Linked DNA regions of Oryctolagus cuniculus. The protein of the gene in region 1 purifies or fractionates together with the protein of each later gene. This does not show direct contact. Links are inferred from orthologs where the notes say so. Each region holds a gene or a part of one and is shown in the gene's direction. Other genes may lie near its edges. The genes, in order: SAE1 and SUMO3.

Region 1 (3,797 bases):
TGGCTGTCAGGGTTTATATCATTTCATCTTTCAGGCTCTGCTGTGGAAGTCCTCTGCTCCAGTCCCCTCTATTGTTCTGGTTGAATTTCATTGAATTTAAAAGTTCATTTTTACGAAAGATTTACTTACATTATTTGAAAGAGTTACATTGAGAGGGGGAGAAACATTATCTTCCACCTGATGGTTTACTCCCTACGTGACTGCATTGGCCAGAGCTGGGCAGGCCGAAGCCAGGAGCCTGGAACTCCACTGGGGTCTTCCACTTGGGTGGCAGGGGCCAATCTTCCCCTGTGTTCTTTTTTTTTTTTTTTTTTTTTTTTTTTTTTTTTGACAGACAGAGTGGACAGTGAGAGAGAGAGACAGAGAGGAAGGTCTTCCTTTGCCGTTGGTTCACCCTCCAATGGCCGCCGCAGCTGGTGCACTGCAGCCGGCGCATCGCGCTAATCTGAAGCCAGGAGCCAGGTGCTTATCCTGGTCTCCCATGGGGTGCAGGGCCCAAGCACTTGGGCCATTCTCCACTGCCCTCCTGGGCCACAGCAGAGAGCTGGCCTGGAAGAGGGGCAACCGGGACAGAATCCGGCGCCCCGACCGGGACTAGAACCCGTTGTGCCGGCGCCGCAAGGCAGAGGATTAGCCTAGTGAGCCACAGCACCGGCCTTCCCCTATGTTCTTAGCAGGGAGCTATATCGGAAGTGGAGCAGCCATAACTTGAACTGGCACTCATATGGGATGCCGGTATCCTAGCCAGTAGCTTAACTCACTGTGCCATGGTGTTGGCCCCTAAAGTTCATTTTAAGCATTCTCAATTGTGTCTGAATTTTGTACTAGTATGGGTTTTTTTTTGTGTTTTTTTTTTTGTTTGTTTGTTTGTTTTTTTGACAGGCAGAGTAGAGAGTGAGAGAGAGAGAGACAGAGAGAAGGGTCTTCCTTTTGCCGTTGGTTCACCTTCCAATGGCCTCCGTGGCTGGCGCGCTGTGGCCGGCGCACCGCGCTGATCCGATGGCAGGAACCAGGTGCTTCCTCCTGGTCTCCCATGGGGTGTGGAGCCCAAGGACTTGGGCCATCCTCCACTGTACTCCCGGGCCACAGCAGAGAGCTGGCCTGGAAGAGGGGCAACTGGGACAGAATCCGGAGCCCCGACCGGGACTAGAACCCGGTGTGCTGGCGCCGCTAGATGGAGGATTAGCCTAGTGAGCCGTGGTGCCGGCCAGTATGGTTTTTTTTTTTTTTTTTTTAATTATTTTTTATTTACTTGAAAGACACAGAGATCTCTGATCTACTGGCTTACTCCCCAAATGCCCACAGCTGGGACTGGGCCAGGCGGAACCCAGTTTGGAACTTAGTCTGGGTTTCTCATGTGGGTGGCAGGTACTTGAGTACTTGAGCAATCACCGGCTCCTCCCAGGGTGCACATTAGCTGCAAGCTGGAATTGAAAGCGGAGGCAGGACTCAAATCCAGGCGCACTCATGTGGGACGCAGGTGTCCCCAGGGGTGTCCTCACCACTGTGCCTTGCACGAGTCAGGTTGTAAACTGCATGAGACAGGGACCACACTTAGCGTTGGGCACATGTAAGGGTTTAGTTTGTTAGCAGTTATCAATGTGAGAAGGAATGCATGGACTTTCTTGTTTTTCTCTATAAACACAAGGGGGTGCTCTTTAACCACCAATGCCCAGAAAAAAAGTTAAAAGTCAAACATCTGTTTCCAATTTTATTTTTATTTTTAAAAGATTTTTTATTTATTTGAAAAGCAGAGTTACAGAGAGAGAGAACTTCTATCCACTGCTTCATTCCCCAAATGGCTGCAACCGCCAGGGCTGGGCCAGGCTGAAGCCAGGAGCCAGGAGCTTCCTCTGGTTCTCCCACATGGGTGCAGGGGCCCAAGCGCTTGGGCCACCTTCCACTGCTTCCCCGGGTGCATTAGCAGGGAGCCTGATCGGAAGTGGAGCAGGCCGTAGCTTTACCCAGTATCCCACAACGCTGTCCCCCAAATGTCCTGTTTTAAATAGCCTTTTCTCAGAAGGAGGACTGAGAATAGGCAGTCTGCATTGGGCATATTGCTGCAGGAACTGTTAACCAATTAGATGGTAAGTGTTCTAGCCAACCTTCAAAATTAAAAAAGCTCATTGTCTTTGGAGCATATTTCCCAGAAAAAAATCAAAGGTTTAAGAAAAAAAAAATTATTTCTAGGTATCTCCAGAGGATCCTGGAGCACAGTTCCTGATCCGGACCGGGTCTGTTGGTCGGAACCGGGCCGAAGCCTCCTTGGAGCGTGCCCAGAACCTCAACCCCATGGTGGACGTGAAGGTGGACACTGAGGAGATAGAGAAGAAGCCGGAGTCGTTCTTCACGCAGTTTGATGCTGTGAGTTTCGCGGTGGAAGATCTGCAGAGAAATGAATAGTGGAGCATTCGCATCTCCCCATCTCAGATGAGCTTTTCCCCAAGTGCATTTTTTTTTTCTTTTTCTTTTTCTGACAGGCAGAGTTACAGAGAGACAGAGAGCAAGGTCTTCCTTTTTCTGTTGGTTCACCCACCAAGTGGCTGCTACGGCCGGCACGCTGCGGCAATCCAAAGGCAGGAGCCAGGTGCTTCTCCTGGTCTCCCATGGGGTGCAGGACCCAAGTACTTGGGCCATCCTCCACTGCACTCCTGGGCCACAGCAGAGAGCTGGCCTGGAAGAGGGCAACTGGGACAGAATCCGGTGCCCCAACCGGGACTAGAACCCAGTGTGCCAGCGCTGCAGGCGGAGGATTAGCCTAGTGAGCCGCAGCGCTGGCCCCAAGTGCATCTTTAGGCTGCTTAGTTCTCTCGGCTCAGTATGGCACATGGATGGCTGCGAGGTAGGGCCAGTCTGCTGGACCTGCTGTAGCCGCTTGTGACGTGCTGTCTGCTGGCTTCCTTTCTGTGCATATGGCCCCCAGAGCAGGTTTCCATATTGCTGTTTTGTCTCCCTTCCAGAATCTTTGCACATAGCTGTGATACATTTTATTGCAAATGTTTTCTCCCTCATACTTCCCAATCTGGTGATTAATTTCGATGGTAGAGACATACTTTTGGCTAGAAATATCAAACTACAGCTGTGTTTTGTCTTGAGAAAGAGCACACCTGATCTTGGTGTACCTGCGTCTGCCTGTCTTTCTTATGTAGAAATGTAGAACTGAGCCAAATGAGGCAAATCCTCACTTGGGTTCACCACCAGATCTGTGCAGAGGTGAAAAAGGTGAGCTGAATTTTATGGCAGTACTGGGCACCTATCCTGGAAAAGCTTCACAAATCTTGGATAACTGTGAAATAATCATGGTGAGTGCCTTTTTTTAAAATGACAGGCCTGTTACATGAGAGAGTAGAAGTTGAGTTGGGTGGTTTGTACTTCACAGATTTTGCACCCACATCTGTTCACTTGCAGTGTGGACGGATGCATTGTCTGTGTGTTTGTCCTTTTCTTTCTTCCCAATCTCTTTTACTTTGTAACTTTGTGTACTAGGACCCTTTCTACCTGGACACGTGTCCTCATTGCCTTACCCGTAGCAGCCACATTAGGTTTACTCTAGGTGTCCCTTGAACTTAGAGAATCGGAAGAGAGGTTGTTAGACTGGAAGCACGTGGCCTGTTGGTTGAGTAATACTGACTGCTTCATGGGCCCCTGGTTGGGGTGGTCCTCAGCCATGTTTCTGTCACTTTGGACTGGACTCCACAGGGAGTTGTTGGGTCCGCTGGTTGCGTGTTCACCTGTGGCTTTCTTACCTTCTCCCTGTGACTCTTCTCGGGCGGCTGCATCCTCTAAAACACCAGAGG
Region 2 (4,399 bases), on another chromosome or scaffold:
GACCAAGCCCTACCCGGAGCCTGTGGGCTGGGAAGCTGGGTCTGGGCGCACCTCTCACGGCCAGACTTCAGCAGTCTTTTTCTCTCTGATTTTACTTATTTATTGCAGACAGAGAGAAGTCTTCCATCTGCTGCTTCTCTCCGCAACGGCCGAAGCTGCACCGATCCGAAGCCAGGGTCCTGGAGCTTCTTCCGGCCTCCCACATGGCCGCAGGGCCCCAAGGACTTGGGCCTGCTGCTGCTGTCCCAGGCCACAGCAGGGAGCTGGATCGGAAGAGCGGCCGCTGGAAACTGAAGGCGCCCACAGATGCCGGCGCTGCAGGCGGAGGCTCAGCCCCAGCCCCAGCCCCAGCCCCAGCCCCAGTAACCTTTGCTCTTAATGGTGGCCCTGCCCAGACGTTTGAGGGTGGAAGGGGGCTTGGGAGATGCCCTGCGGCTCCGCAGCGTTACCAGGAGGTGAGTGGCACCTGTCTGCTGGCCTGCTCAGGCAGGATGGAAACGGTTCCGAGCCTTGGGCTGCGGCTCATCCTGGTGCCGCCCACCGGCCCCTCCATCCGAGGTGATTAAGGTCGGGGGTGGGCGTGCCTTCCGCGGTTCCGTGGGCCCCCATCTTGCATGGGCCACGCGGCCAGGTGCTCGAGCTCCCACCCGTGGTGACACCCGGCCTGTGGTTTCACCTCCCACCGCCTCGGTTTTCTCATACGTGAATGGGTTGTTGCGAGGACTAGGTGTGGACAGCATTCTAGAAGTCAGCCAAACCACCGGGAGGGGGCTCCCCATGGTGGAGAGTGGACGCCCCAGAGGAGGCGCCGGCCAGGGAAGTGGCCGGGAGGAGAGGACCTGGTGACCCCAGCCCTGTCTGCAGAAGCCTGCGTGATGTGGACAGAGGACACAGGTCCCCTCCAGTCGGGGAAGGGCCTCTCCCGAGCCCCCCCCACCGCCTTTCCTTTACCCCCTAGAGAAATGCAGCCCCGCAGAAGTGGGGGGTGCGTGGCCTGGCCTCGGCCTGCACAGCTCAGAGGCCTGGGGCCGCGCGCGGGCGGGGGGTTCCCAAGGGGACTTGCAGGTGGCTCCAGGGCCCCGAGGCCCGAACTGGACCCTGACCCTGCCCACGTCAGCGCAGCCACTCCGGAGCCCAGGCCTGGCCCTCACGTCCCCGCCCCCAAGCCCGATCCCGGGCCCTGGGCTCCCCCAGCCGTGCACTCCCTGCGCGTCCCCGGGGCCGGGCACCCGCGACAGCCTGCGGCCCCGGGTCCCACGCGCGCCCCCGGGCGCCCAGACTGCGGGGTCGCGCGGGGACCCGCCCCGTGACGCACTTCCAACCGCCGGGAACCGCGGCCCGCCCGGGCGCGCGCCCGACGCCCCAGGGCGCGCGCCTCGTGCACGCGCGCCCGCCACGTGACCTCCCCCGGCCAACCGGCGCGCCGGGATTTGAGGGATAAAGCGCGGCCCCGAGGGCAGTTGCGGCGGGAGAGCGGCGGCCCGGAGAGCGACTGCCCCGCTCGCGCTGCTGCTGCCGCCGCCGCCGCGACCGCGACCGCGCGCAGCCATGTCCGAGGAGAAGCCCAAGGTAAGCCGCGGCCCGCCCGCCGCCCGCCGCCCCGGGGCACCCGCGCCTCCGCTCCTGGCAGGCCCCGTCCCCACCCGCCGTGGCCACGGCGCCCACGAGCCCCGCGCCCGGGCCCACGCCGCACGCCCGCCCCTCCCCCACGGGCCTCCGCGCCCCTCCCCCACCGCGGGCTCCGCGGCGCGCCCCGCCCCGTCCTCGCCCCGCCCCGACAGCGTCTGTCCCGGAGCCCCGCCCCTGCTCTGCACCCGTCGGAGCTCCTCCCCGAGCCCGCCCCCTTCCGCTTCTCGAGCCCCGCCCCTTGCCGGTTTCGAGCCCCTCTAGTCCTAGCCCCGTCCCGTCCTAGCCCCGCCCCCAATAGGTCTCTCCCGGAGACCCGCCCCCTTTCTGGTCTCGGGCCTCTTACGTCATAGCCCCGCCCCGAGAAGCCCCGCCCTGACAGCGTCTCTCCCGAGCCCCGCTCCAAGCCCCGCCTCCTGGCCCCGCCCCCGCTGTGCGCCCCCTGGCGCGCGTCCTCGAGGGCGTGTTCGCGTGGCCCCGTCCTCCGTCCAGGTTTTCCCGCGCGGTGGCCCCTCTCCTGAGAGAGTGGGAGTAGCCGGGGTCGGTAGCCCGCTGCGACCCCGGATGTGCTGCCGTCTCCCAGCGCGGCCCCGGGGTGCGGCCCTTCCCCGTCACAGCCCCAGGGTGCTCCCCCTCCCCGTCATAGCCCCAGGGTGCTCCCCCTCCCCGTCATGGCCCCGGGGTGCGCCCCCTCTCCCTCTAGGTCCCAGGGTGTGCCCACCTCCCTGTCACAGTCCCAGGGTGCTCCCACTCCCCGTCACAGCCCCAGGGTGCTCCCCCTCTCCCTCTAGGTCCCAGGGTGCGCCCACCTCCCTGTCACAGTCCCAGGGTGCTCCCACTCCCCGTCGCCGCCCTGGGGTGCGCCCCCTCCCTGTCACAGCCCCAGGGTGCTCCCCGTCCCCGTCACAGCCCCAGGGTGCTCCCCCTCCCCGTCACGGTCCCGGGGTGCTCCCCCTCTCCCTCTAGGTCCCAGGGTGCACCCCTCCCCGTCACAGCCCCAGGGTGCTCCCCCTCTCCCTCTAGGTCCCAGGGTGCTCCCATCGTCCCGGCCTGGGGTGGGCCCCTTCCTGTCCCGCCCCGAGGGCTGCCCTGGGTCAGGCCGGCAGTCCTTGGGTAGGTGGAGGCGGAAGCTCCGGTCTCTGAGCACGTGCTGGGGACCTGGGGCTCCGTGCTGGGGACCTGGGGCTCCTGCTGCAGCTGGGGTCAGAGGTGAGCAGCCCCCTTCACAGGTGAGGGAGGAGGCTGGAGCCCAGCCCCTGGCCGGGCCCTGCTTGGGTGAGGGAGGAAAGCCGGCATCTGGCCACAGCCTCTAACGTGTGCCCAGGGCAGGGCCCCCCGGCCCAGGTCCTCGCCCATGGCATAAACTTGCCGGTGGACGCCAGCTCTGCTCTGGCCGTGGGGCGTGGGCGTGCGGGGAGGCAGCCTTGTGGTCAGATGGGAAAACCATTTCTGCCCCCCAGAATACTGACCACAATGAATTGGGGCAATTGGTTTTAGGACTTCTTTTCCTCTTTTAAAAAAAGATTTTTTTCTCTCTGTCTCTCACTGTCCACTCTGCCTGTCAAAAAAAAAAAAAAAAAGATTTTAAAGTGTGTTTACTTGAGAGTCAGAGACACAGAGAGAGGGTCTCCCGTCGGCCCTGTGCGTATCCCAGATGCCTGCAACGGCGGGGCTGGGGCCGGGAGCTGGCAGCCCCACGCACGTGTCCGCACCTGCCCGGGCCGCATGGCCCTCCTGGCCGCTGCCGCGTGGACCGCAGCTTCCCTCCCTCCTGTCAACACTGCCTTCTGCTTCTCTGAAGTCACGCACAGCTGCGTGCAGTGTGTGGTTCTGTTAGTTTTGTAAAAGTGACTTTCAAACGAAGATGGGTTTTCCGACTTCTCCTGGGCCCTGCAGGCTCGGGCGTGCTGCTCCCCCGGGACGCCCAGCGGCTGGGGGTGAAAGTCCGTTCTGTGCCAAAACAAAGCAGCCGCCTGCTGGAGGGGCCTGGACGGAGGCGCCGGTTAGGTGGTGGCCATGACGTCAGTGAAGCCCGGCGCCCCTCAGCTCCTGGAGAGCGCCGGATCCTTAGAGGTGTTTCCTGTCCCTGCAGGAGGGCGTGAAGACCGAGAATGACCACATCAACCTGAAGGTGGCCGGGCAGGACGGCTCCGTGGTGCAGTTCAAGATCAAGAGGCACACCCCACTGAGCAAGCTGATGAAGGCCTACTGCGAGCGGCAGGTGCGGCGCCCCCCGGCTGCCTTGCCCAGGGGCCTTGCCCAGGGGTCTCGTCCCGGTGGCCCTGTAAACGGACAGGTGGCGCTCACCGTGGCGGGCCCTTCTGCTGAGACGCCCTCTGGGGCAGGTGCGGCGCCCCCCGGCTGCCTTGCCCAGGGGTCTCGTCCCGGTGCCCCTGTAAACGGACAGGTGGCGCTCACCGCGGGCGGGCCCTTCTGCTGAGACGCCCTCTGGGGCCGGTGCCTTCCGATGCACTGCCGGGCAGGTCCCGCGTCGCTCCTCGCCTTACTTCTGCCCGTCAGCAGTGTGCTTTGCCAGCTCGTTTAGCAACGGCGAGAAAATGATGGATCTCCCCCAGTTTCCCAAACAGCGAGCCGCCTCAGCAGCACCCCCCTGTGGTCAGTCAGAACGGCCGTTTCTGGTGGCTAGCGTTCGTCTCACCAGCTCATGGGTCGTACACGTCTGTGCTTCGACGGTCGTGGCGTTCCAGTCCGTGCCCAGCGTGCTCGTCCTGGGGAGATGGGCATCGGTCCAGTCCGTTGCAGAATTCCTGCC

What was found.
Region 2: the proteins of SAE1 (region 1) and SUMO3 purify together in Homo sapiens (affinity purification with mass spectrometry; 3 studies listed by BioGRID and IntAct, with this or other methods). This does not show direct contact. The link is inferred for Oryctolagus cuniculus from reciprocal best matches to the Homo sapiens genes SAE1 and SUMO3.

Annotation. Positions count from the first base shown.
Region 1 is NC_091449.1:10,355,079-10,358,875, reverse strand, and holds part of SAE1 (SUMO-activating enzyme subunit 1), read left to right. Parts: intron 1-2,190; coding exon 2,191-2,364; intron 2,365-3,797. UniProt on the Homo sapiens protein: The heterodimer acts as an E1 ligase for SUMO1, SUMO2, SUMO3, and probably SUMO4. It mediates ATP-dependent activation of SUMO proteins followed by formation of a thioester bond between a SUMO protein and a conserved active site cysteine residue on UBA2/SAE2.
Region 2 is NC_091435.1:1,757,199-1,761,597, forward strand, and holds the start of SUMO3 (small ubiquitin-related modifier 3), read left to right. Parts: upstream 1-1,386; 5' UTR 1,387-1,548; coding exon 1,549-1,569; intron 1,570-3,718; coding exon 3,719-3,847; intron 3,848-4,399. UniProt on the Homo sapiens protein: Ubiquitin-like protein which can be covalently attached to target lysines either as a monomer or as a lysine-linked polymer. Does not seem to be involved in protein degradation and may function as an antagonist of ubiquitin in the degradation process.